Linked DNA regions of Rattus norvegicus. The protein of the gene in region 2 interacts with the protein of the main gene of each other region in a pairwise test. Links are inferred from orthologs where the notes say so. Each region holds a gene or a part of one and is shown on either strand. Other genes may lie near its edges.

Evidence for each region.
Region 1: the proteins of Bysl (region 2) and Ltv1 interact in binary tests that used the Homo sapiens proteins (3 or more experiments, as listed by UniProt). The two-hybrid records come from large-scale screens. The link is inferred for Rattus norvegicus from reciprocal best matches to the Homo sapiens genes BYSL and LTV1.
Region 3: the proteins of Bysl (region 2) and Mid1 interact in binary tests that used the Homo sapiens proteins (3 or more experiments, as listed by UniProt). The two-hybrid records come from large-scale screens. The link is inferred for Rattus norvegicus from reciprocal best matches to the Homo sapiens genes BYSL and MID1.

Annotation. Positions count from the first base shown.
Region 1 is NC_086019.1:9,395,914-9,399,664, reverse strand, and holds the start of Ltv1 (protein LTV1 homolog), read left to right. Parts: upstream 1-1,107; 5' UTR 1,108-1,125; coding exon 1,126-1,128; intron 1,129-1,869; coding exon 1,870-2,001; intron 2,002-3,181; coding exon 3,182-3,352; intron 3,353-3,751. UniProt on the Homo sapiens protein: Essential for ribosome biogenesis.
Region 2 is NC_086027.1:20,878,856-20,882,606, forward strand, and holds the start of Bysl (bystin), read left to right. Parts: upstream 1-1,485; 5' UTR 1,486-1,553; coding exon 1,554-1,818; intron 1,819-3,751. Other genes in the region: Med20 (mediator of RNA polymerase II transcription subunit 20), read right to left, coding at 1,030-1,043. UniProt on the Homo sapiens protein: Required for processing of 20S pre-rRNA precursor and biogenesis of 40S ribosomal subunits. May be required for trophinin-dependent regulation of cell adhesion during implantation of human embryos.
Region 3 is NC_086039.1:27,681,341-27,684,768, forward strand, and holds the end of Mid1 (E3 ubiquitin-protein ligase Midline-1), read right to left. Parts: intron 902-3,428; coding exon 553-901; 3' UTR 527-552; downstream 1-526. UniProt on the Homo sapiens protein: Has E3 ubiquitin ligase activity towards IGBP1, promoting its monoubiquitination, which results in deprotection of the catalytic subunit of protein phosphatase PP2A, and its subsequent degradation by polyubiquitination.

The DNA.
Region 1 (3,751 bases), on a different chromosome or scaffold from region 2:
AAACATTTACAGTGATAATATTTGACTATAATTATAGAGACATTCCAACAGAACTCAGACATTGGGGAAAACAAAAACAAAAACAAAAAACACTAGCAACTTTCTCTCCACTTGGGGAGGAGAAAGCAAACATCTACTGACAGAATGTTGAATTATTTCATCACTCTTTTCTCCGAGATCTGATGGAACCCTTCCTAAGCAATTACACTTAAAATCTGATTTGCTTAAGGTACCGCAAAATACGTGAGCAAAAACATGGGGGATGGAGATGTGCTCATAGAACACTTGGTGGGGCGTTCACCCAGCATGCAGGAAGCTCTGGCTGGGTTCGATCTTCAGCATCATATAAATAGAACATGCCCGTCACTAGTGAAGTGCAGTTCAAGTTGGACAAGAGGCTGGGCTACATAAAACAAACAACAACAACAAAAAAACCACCTTCAGTTTATTGGTTTTCATCTTAAAAAATAAGCAGTCATCAGAGATTCAGAATACATTACGTCAAATGCCCCTAAAACCAAGAGTCGTAGGGTCTGTGATAAGATACTGCTGGGAATTGTTGATCAAAAGATGTAAAATGAAGACTCTGGAGATGTTAGGCTCTGCCTATTAGAGTTCCGCCTTGGTTGAACATAAGCAACTGATTTCCCTTAGGTCAAGAAGTCAGGGAAGTGACTACTTTCCTTCCATGAACCTGCACAGGCTTGGTCTTGTTTTTATTTGTTTTTGTCTTGTTTGTTCTCAGTTAAGAATAGGTGTGGAATATCTTCAGTGATAACGTTACATTCATCAGCCCGGTGTAGGGACGGGACATTTGCCTTCAGGTAGAACTCCAGTTAGGTAGGCTACTCCCAACCTGCACCGACTCCAGCCAGAAAAGCCCCGCCCACTGAGAGAGAGAGTCCTGCTAGCCCCACCTCCCGGAAGTTCCCGGGAACGTTCCTTCACCGCGGGCTCACGCAACTTCCGGCTGCAGTCTAGCGGCTCCTCGGCGATTGGCTCTTTGCCATGCCATCGTGTGACGTGCTGTCCTAGACCTGTCTACCCACGTGTAGAGCTGCCGGGAGATACCGGCGAGTCGCGGTTCGGCTTTCGCGGTTCCGGAAAGGGAGTCCCTGCCTCATCATGGTGAGAAAACCGCGGTGCTCCGGGAGGGAGCCGGCGGGTTCCGGTTATGTCTGTTCGCCGCTCCCTGCGGCTGGCTTAGGCCACTGGCCGCGCGGCTTGGTGCCCCGAAACCAGTCACTATCCCGGCACCAGTCATCTTCGTCACCCCGGGTGCACTTCGGAAGGAGAAAGATGGTTTCCCTTTTGCAAAATCCCGGGCGTTTACGGTCCTGACGGCTTAGGTTAACTCCGTCCCTGTGATACAAGCCCCGCCCCCTGCTTCCGGGGTCCACTTCAGCCACCTGGTTAGCATCTCGGTTTCCAGACCCAGAGTTGAAGAACACCTAAGAATGTGGAGTAAATAGTCTAAACCTTGCTTGTCTGTTAGATGAAGTGTCGGCCAACTTTTCGGGGACCTCAGAGCACCCACTACAAAAGACTTTAGGCATTTGAACTTAACCCTGTTTGACTTTCCTTCACTAAGGTCATTTGTCCTTACTCATTTGCTTGTTAAGAACGGAGAGCCTCTTAGACTGTCCCACTGCCATATTCCCAACACCTTTGAACAAGTGTCTCAGAGTAGGTAGGGTACCTAGCCAGTGTTTGGTGGAGAAGGTAAATATGGATCCTTCAGGAGGCAGGGACTGCTGTCTGGCTTAGATGTGCAAATTCGACATATCTGTTCACCCTTCACATGCTTACTAAATATTCCTCTGGCAGTAGAATTGCCCACTTTAGCGGCCCTTCCTGATTATTTTGTAGCCTCACAGAAAGAAAAAGCCCTTTATAGAGAAGAAGAAAGCTGTGTCTTTTCACCTGGTCCACCGGAGCCAGAGAGACCCCTTGGCAGCAGATGAAACCGCACCGCAGAGAGTTCTGGTGCCTACACAAAAGGTAGGTCCTGTCCTGTGGCCACTAAGTTTTTAGGTGAATAGTAGTTTTGTAGTCCTGAAAAGTGGAACCCAGGGGACTTAGGCATGTCAGGCAAGCACTTTACCCCTGAACTATATGCCCCCAGAGTTTAATAATGAGTTGATACTCTCAGAAGTTGGTCCTCTTAAAAAAAAAAAAACTGAGCCGTGACTTGGTTTCCAATCTTTGCGCTGATGTTTGATGTTGTGTATTTGTCTTGATTGACAGGATAGAGCATCTAGGCTGTCTGTGGTGGTGTGCTCCATCTCTTGCTTTCTCTTGGGGTTCTGCTGTGTTACAGTAGTCTTCCATTTGTATTCCTGCCCCGAGTCACTCATCTCACGAAACACAAAGCATTTGAGCCCATGAATTAGCTTCGGACGTCCCAAAGGGGCCTTGAAGAAGCTGGTTTATGCTAGCGTTACGCTTGTTGAAGATGGCTCATATAAAGGTCTTGGGGGACGCTAGAAAGATGGGTCAGTGTTTTAAGCACTTGCTGCTCTTGCAGAGGACCCAGGTTCAGTTCCCAGCACCCGTCTGTACAGTCACAACCATCTGTAACATCTGCTGGAGGGGGATCTCATACTCCAGTCTGTCCTAGCCACACATGTAGTCCAAACACTCATTTAAAAATGTAAGACGTGTTTTAAGGATTGGGGGGGGGGGGGCATTGGCCTGCACTTAGCTTTTCCTTAAAGCCACCCCTTACACCACTGAAAAGCTTTCTTTGGGTCTAAGTACAAGAAACTATGCTTACTGTCAAAGTCTCCAGATTGTTTCTCATAATCCTCCAGTGACATTTTTTGAGTGTGTGCTACTTATATTTCTCACCTGGAGTTGTCATGCAGAACTGCCTGGTTGAGAGAGCTGTTCTCGTTCTTGTCATGTGGATGTGCTCCTGTTTCACTTGGTCTTTGAAACAAGGTCGTCTGCATTTTTCAGGCCTGTCTTATAACTGTGGGTTCTGATGGTCTGCCTCAGCCTGGCTTGTTGTCATTTCATTATAATTTTATGTAGCGCTCTGGTTTGGACTCTCCGTAGTTTGGGTATTTATCAAGAATTAGTGATTCCTGTCGGCCAGTATTCACGTGCTGTCTACCTCCTGAAAGTTACACGGATCCTGACTCGTGGCAGGACAACTGATGCCATCTTGTTGTCCAAGGTAAATGATGAGGAAAGGCGAGCAGAGCAGAGGAAGTACGGCGTGTTCTTCGATGATGACTACGACTACTTGCAACACCTGAGGGAGCCATCCGGCCCCGCAGAGCTTATTCCCAGCTCCACCCCCAGCACCTACTCCAGCCGTGGGGAAGAAGACACCTCGGTGTTCCCGGTAAGCTTTAAATGTAAAACCGTGCAACACCGAGGAGACACCTCGTTTCCAAGTCAGTACCTTTGGGGCGGTAAATGGTGTTGGTGTGAAGAGCGTAGTCTCTGCCTACTGTTACAGACGCGTGTATATCTGCACCATTGGGTATGGGCCACTTCTCCAGGAGCTGTTAGCAAGATTAACAGCCTTCTGTCAGGTTCAGAGCTTGGCCTCATGGCAGGCAGCATTTTCCATAGAAGAAAAACAGAGGACATTCTGTATCCTGATGCTGTTTTGTGATCATAAACAGTCGAGGGTGTGGAGTTTTTAGATCTGTGACACCTTTGTGAACACTGCAAGGGAGCCTTAGAGAGCAGCACGCACAGGTGGTAATGGAGTAATTTAATCCCCTCAGCAGGGCTG
Region 2 (3,751 bases):
ACATACACAGCCCAGAAAGGTGGCATTGGGGGATCTCAAATGACTCTGCTGTGATCTATTTTCACTGTGGCAGAGATGAGGCTCCTGGTGTCAACTTTGGCAAGCGCAGTTACTAAGGAGCCTACAAGAGCTCTCCTTTCCAGAGCAGACCTGTGGCCCCTGACTTCCTGTACAATGGCCCCCAAGCTTCTTTAATCGGAAAGAAGCGCACCAGTACCAAGATTTTAAGTGCTGAGGTCTAGTACTTTGAAATTAATACCCACAAAAGCACGGTGCCCAAACCTTACCGACTGCCTCTTTTTTTTTTTCAAGTGAGACTTAAGACATGTTTAAGATAAAAGTCGATCAAAACTGTCTCAAGCCCAAGTGCTGGTGGCAAATGCCATCACCAAAGCACTCAAGAGGCAGAGGTGGGCAGATCTCGGTGAGTTTGAGTCCAGCCTGATCTACAGGCCTCCCAAAGCTACTCACAAAGAAAACCCTGCTCAAAAAACTGTCTCAAATACGTTAGGGAGTGGTTCATGAATAGTTAATATGCCTGGTACCCCGATCTCCAAACTCCCAACAGCTCCTTTCCCCTACCTTTGTCACTAGCCCCAATATCTTAAAGTGGCCAGTTCAAAGTCAGGTGCTATAACTGCAAGCAGAATACACAAGTCACTTTCTCCTCGCGCCCCTTTTTATCCCTTCCTCCGAATATCTCCTAGTCTAGAAACCTTATTTCTAACCGCTGGATTCTAGTTGCGACGGGACAAGGCCTCAAGGACAGAAAGAGGTACCGAGAAAAAGAAGGTCCAACAACTCTTGGCGGGTTCTTGGGATGAAGTGCTTGCTTTGCCAAATTGTTATGCCTGGGAAGGGAGAACCCGCACTCGGGTGTCCCCTGATCCACACAACCCCAGGACATCTTGGTCAGCCCTCGAGGAACCGAGAACCTCGGTCAAAATCCCCCTCCCCGGGCCATTACAGGCTCACAGACACCTTCACGACCCCACAGCCCCCCCCCCGCAGAAGCCCTTCAAGTCCTACCACGTCACTCCCATGGCGAAGGGTCAAAAGGTGGTACTGCCAAATACTCAAACTCAGAGAATCCAGACCTTCCCACGAGAGGCAGCCCCCTAAACACAGGAAGCGGTCGTTGACCGGCCTCCGGAAATGCGTAAATACTGAGCGCCAGGACGACACGCCCACAGGGAGAGGCATCTCTGGATACACCAGCGGTGACATTTCTAGTACGTCATCGACCCGGCTCCGCCCCCAAAACATACAAGGGGTTGACAACACGCCCTAGGCTACTTTCATGAATTCTGGAAAAGGTGACTCGAACATCCACCTCTTTCAGTGAGATTATCTGAGAATTTGGAGACTCCTGCTCCAAGCCCCGAAGCTCTTCTAGAGATGGCGATATATGAGGAACTTCCGGCCTCCGAACGCTGGGGGGCACTGTGATGCCTCAGTGACCTCTTGGAGACCGGAATACAAGGCGCAAGCGCAGTCTCGTCTCTTAGCCGGCTTCACACGTGTAAACTTTGTGGGCAAGTTTTTCGACAAAAATGCCCAAATTAAAGGTGACACGTGGGGCCAGAAATCAAGAGAGACATGCACCTCTGGCGGAGCAGATTCTGGCTGGGGACGCAGTGCGTGCGGGGACCCGAGAAAAACGGCGGAGACACGGGGTCGAAGAGGAGGAAGAGTATGTGGGACCCCGGTTGAGCAGACGGATTTTGCAACAAGCCCGGCAGCAGCAGGAGGAGCTCGAGACTGAACACGCGACTGGAGATCGGCCGGCAAAACCGCGAGAGCGCGCCACGCGGCTGGGTGAGTGACAAGGGGTGGAGTGGTGAGTTGGGCCGGTCTGATACTCTCCATCGGAATACTGGGTTAGAATTAAAAAGAGTAGGCGGCTTAACTTTCCCGCGTGGTCCTTCACTTCCACTCCTGGGTTTCGGGATCCAGACTTAAGCCAACAGAATGTGATCTCTCACACCAGTTCTAGCATTTATTTATTCTCTGTGCGTTTGAAGTATCTGTGGGCTGCCTGCATAGTGCTTTGAGCTGTGTTAAGTTTTTAGGCAGTTCTGATCCAGAAATAAGATCTTCATCACTCCTGATGGCACCGGAAGTGTAGCTCAAGGCACACATTAAATAGATAATTAGAGTAATATATTCCAGGCAGGAGTGGCGATGCTCACCTGTAATGCCAGCACTCCAGAAGCAAGGCAGAAGGCCTCCTTGAGTACATAGTAAATTCCAGATTAACCTCGACTACATTACATGATAGAACCCTATCTCTCAAGAGAGGGGGAAAGATATTTCTGTTTAAACAAAAACAGATGGACATTAATTCTGTATGGTGGGTATCCCAGGTTTCACGTCCTTCTAGTAAGATCTGAAAAGCAAGTGGGAAGTGTTCCAGTGATGAGGGAGGGGAACGAGTATTGTTCAGAAGCTAAAAGTGGGGTGGGATGGGTGGGTAGATGCTTGGTAATCTGTCTCACTGGGGAGGAACTGTCGTTGACCTCCAGTTGCTTAATCTTCCATTCCCATCTGTCCTAAAAGCAGTGTTTGAATGTGGCTTTAGGGCTACAGCAGCTTTTCTGAAGTAAGGGCTCAAGGAGCCCAGGCTGGCCTCAAACTCTGTAGGGGAGGATGACCTTAAACTCCTGATCTTGCCTCTGTTTTCCATGTGGCATTATAGGTGGTTGGCACCACGCCTGCCCTTAAAAACATTTTGTAACTGAGACTGGGTCTCCTTCAGTTGTTCAAGCTGGACTTGAACTTGCCGTGACCAAGGCAGGCCTTGAGCTTATAGATCCTTCCGTGATGCTGTCAGCAAATTTCACTCTGAAGCCATCTGTTTGATGGCTGCTTCCAGATTTTTCTCCCACGTACGTAGTTCGTCCAAGAGGCTCACATCTTTATTTCCAGTGGTCTTCCTGACAGCTCCAAGTTGAAGACTGGTAGCTGTCGATAGTTGAATGTGTCCACACAGAAGTTCTGACTTCCTTCCCAAACCTGCTCTCTGTTGGCTACACAGAGTTTGTTAGCATGTTAGCCTTCCACTGCTCAAGGCACAATCCAGTGTTCTCTTTCTCACTTCACAGTAAATCCTGATGGTTGTGTCTTTAGAATATATCCAGAGCCAGACCACTTTCCATTAACTTGGAACGCCTCCTGTTTTAGCTACCACAGTCTCCCCTGAATCACTGGGAGAGCATCATAATTTGTATTCTGTAACCTCTGTGGTCCATTCAACAGCTAGAGATCAACAGAATCCTATCTAATCTGCCTCTGTTTCAGGTCTAATCACAAAGTAAGGAGGGGATAAGATAATTCAGCTGGTAAGGAACATGACTTGAGACTCTTGACTTCCACCTACAACAGCTTGTAGTCCCACAGTGTTGAAGACAGATCTCTTGGACCCACTGGGCAACCAGTGTAGCCTAATCAGCTAACCCCAGGTCCCAGCCAGACCCTGGTTCAAAAACAAGGTCATCAGCTCCCGAGAAATAATAGTCAAGATTCCCCTCTGGCCTCTATGATGCAAGGGTTCACTCATATATAAAAAACTAACAACAGCAACAACAAAACACCCCACAAGTGTCAGCATCTGTCTCCTAACCTCTTTTATTCCCCTACTTATCTCATAGCACTTGTCTTCTTTTATTTAACATGTATTTTGTGTGCGTGTCATGATGTGTGTAGAGAACAGAGGAAAACTCTTGAGAATTGGTCCTCAGCTTTTCAGAAC
Region 3 (3,428 bases), on a different chromosome or scaffold from region 2:
TCCAGTACAAGTGATCTGATATCACAGTTAAAATATCTTGACTAAAAGAGTAAAGGAACCTGTACTTCCTTACAAGGATCAAAATTACTTTTATTTTAGCCATATATTCAGTTGTTCTAAGTGACAGTACCTAGCATGGCCTCAGTATGGAGTAGAATGTAAGAAAGTGAAAAAAAACCACACAAATCTACAAAAAATTTTTTACAGGCTCATAGACTGATGAAATGAAACTGGTAAAGGACTGGTAAACTTACGGGCCTCTTATTGGACAAAACCAAGTGATTCCTAACAGCTGTAATCCAGATTATGCTTCTTTTATAAATAATCTATAGATTTTCCTCTAAATACAAAAAAGTAAAGAAATTATTAAAGCCTGTACTTAATACGAAACACAGGAAAAGGAGGGAAATCTTCCATGTGGAGCCCTATCTGAGCTGGTTTCTGGACAAGTTGGGGAATATTTCATCACACTCTTGAAGCCTTAGTTTCTCAATCCCATAAACAACATCCTCAACCTCTGTAATTCCTTGGGGCTGCTCTGGGGCCAGATGCTCAAGGTAGCTGTTCTGTACAGTCCAAATGGTCTGGGATGGGAAGACCAGTTATAATCGTCAAACACTTGTTCCACACAGTAAAGGTGGGGCACACAGGCTGCGCAAGCGCCACATCGAAGGTATAGAGGTGGATGGAGTTCAAAGCATCATAAAAAGCGATTGAGCCATTATCATAGTCCAGCAGGATGCCTACACGCCGGGGGTGGGGGGCTGGTTCAATGGGTATTTCCTTGCTGTTATGTCTCACCACCCAGTTATTGTTGCAGCGGCAAAGGGCCCAGGAAGCAGAATTCTTCCCAATCCATTCATGTTTTGGAGCTGATTTGTACGCAAGGCCAATGGCATACCTGCAGGGACAAAAAAAAAAAAAAGGAAAACAAAAACAAACAAACAAACAAACAAAAAACCCACATTGCATGTAAGTAAAATTTGCTCTGAGGTCTACAGGGTTTTTTGATTTTTTTAAAAATGTGATCATTTGTTACTCATGATCACACTCTCTTTAAGTGAGTATTTAAATCTAAATATATATCTTTGTCCTTCCCAAACACATAGAGGTGGAAGGTGACCAGTGTATTGGCCTACCTTCCTGTTTTATGTTACCAGAGAAATTTGACTTTCCCTCTTACTGCTGTTTATCTTTTGTAAATGTCTGTGCAGTAAAATTTTCTGGACCAGTACTGATTAGCTTAGATCTTTCTATAATAATTGAAGTGTTTTTTTCTTTTTTTTTTTTTCTGTTCAGTACAGTTGTCTGAAGCACATATGGCTATTGGGCCTTGGAACTGTGACTGGGGAGCCTGTGAAATCAACTTTAAATTTACAGACAATCCATAATTTAGAATGCCTTGGCTTAAGATTTTATAAAGAAACCTTATTAAAGCAATGTACTATCTACAAAATCATCCTTTGGGTTTTGATTGTCTCCTGAGCTTGTGATACATGATGCTGTACTTTTTTTTTTTTTTGGTTCTTTTTTTCGGAGCTGGGGACCGAACCCAGGGCCTTGCACTTCCTAGGCAAGTGCTCTACCACTGAGCTAAACCCCCAATCCCGATGCTGTACTTTTATATGACATTAAGCACAATAAGAGGAAACATCTGATACCATACACTACAATGTACTGAAGACAATAAAAGATATAAAATAATCAAGATGTAAGAATTTGTGATAAAGGAGTTATCCTTACTTAAGGCTAATTAATGTAAATAATCTGAGAATATTCATTGCAGGCCAAGTTGAGCTATGACATTCAGGAGGATAAATGTCAGAAATATATTTATTTTTCAATTATGACATTTTCAGTCATCTTTGAGATTGTCAGGGTATAGACATAGTGTAAGTATGAAAGCACCTCTCTATCTATCTATCTATCTATCTATCTATCTATCTATCTATCTGTCATCTCTTTATTTTAAACATAGTTTCACATTGTGGCCCAGACAGGCCTCAAACTCTTGCAACCTTTCTCTTTTCAGCTTTCTGAGTGGTAGGACTTAAGCCCCCATATCTAGTTGTAATGAATTTGAAATTGAAATAAGTTTATTTAAATGGCTTTGTATAGGGAGCATGGCTACCACACTGGACATCATGACTTTGTATAGGCTTATCCTTTCAACAGACTTTAAATTTTGCAGTTGCTATCATATTTTCCATTTGTCCATGGCTTTGAACGTACTTTGGCAAAGGCAAGCAGGGAGAATGATTTCCACATATGAAGTTAAGTCCTTTATCATCATTCAATCTCAGTGTCTTATCTGAACAGTTATAGTCTCTATATCCCCAAGTTAAAGAGTAAAAGAAAATTTCATCTTAAATTCCTATCACAATTGCTGGTATGTAATGCTCAGTAATGATTATTTCATCGTTACTAATTAATTTCACACTAACAGTAAGTACAAAAATCAAAATTGAAACATAGGATGATTCAAAGTGCCACAAGTTTAATTGACACTCCCTCTCACCAGAAATTGTGTAATTCATAACTGTGTTTCTGATTATATTTTCTACTGTACTTTAAAGTTGTAAAAATATCTTTGAGAGGGTTGGAGAAATGGCTTACTTAGAGTACACACTATTTTTCAGAGGTTCTGATTCTGGTCCCCAGCACCTATATTAGGTGGCTCACAACCACATGGAACTCTAGCTCTAGGGGATCCAACATCCTTTTCTGACATTTACAGACAGACAAACAAATGGATGAAGGACTGAAACAGATGAACAGACAGAGACAGACAGATAGGCAGGCAAATGGACAGACATGCCTACAGACAGAAAGATGGATGAACAGACACATGGTGAAGAGACAGATGGATGGAAACATAGGGGGACAAACAATTGAACAGAGCCATACAGGAAGACGGGATGGACAGATGGACCGATGGACAGATGGACAGAGACAGAGAGATAGGTAGAAAGATGGACAAAGACAGAAAGACAGAGACAGACAGATGAAAATAGACAAGACAGTTGGACAGACAGATGGTCAGACGGACAAAGACAGACAGAAAGACAGGACAAATGGACATATAGATGGACTATGAACAGGTGGATGGACTGAGACAGATAGACAGACAGACAGAGATAGACAGACAGAATTATAGATGGACAGACAGAAGAAAAGGCAGATGAACAGAGACAGGACAGGGCAGACAGAAGTACAGATAGATGGACTGATGGGCAGGTGGACAGACAGAGAGATGAACAGAGACAGATAGAAAGTGGGACCAATAAACAGAGACAGATAAGAGACAGATGACAGAGACAGACAGATGGACAGAGGCTGACAGATGGACAGAAGCAGACAGACAGAATGACAGAGCAGGTGGACAGATGGACAGAGACAGACAGACAGACAGGAAAGACATATGGGCA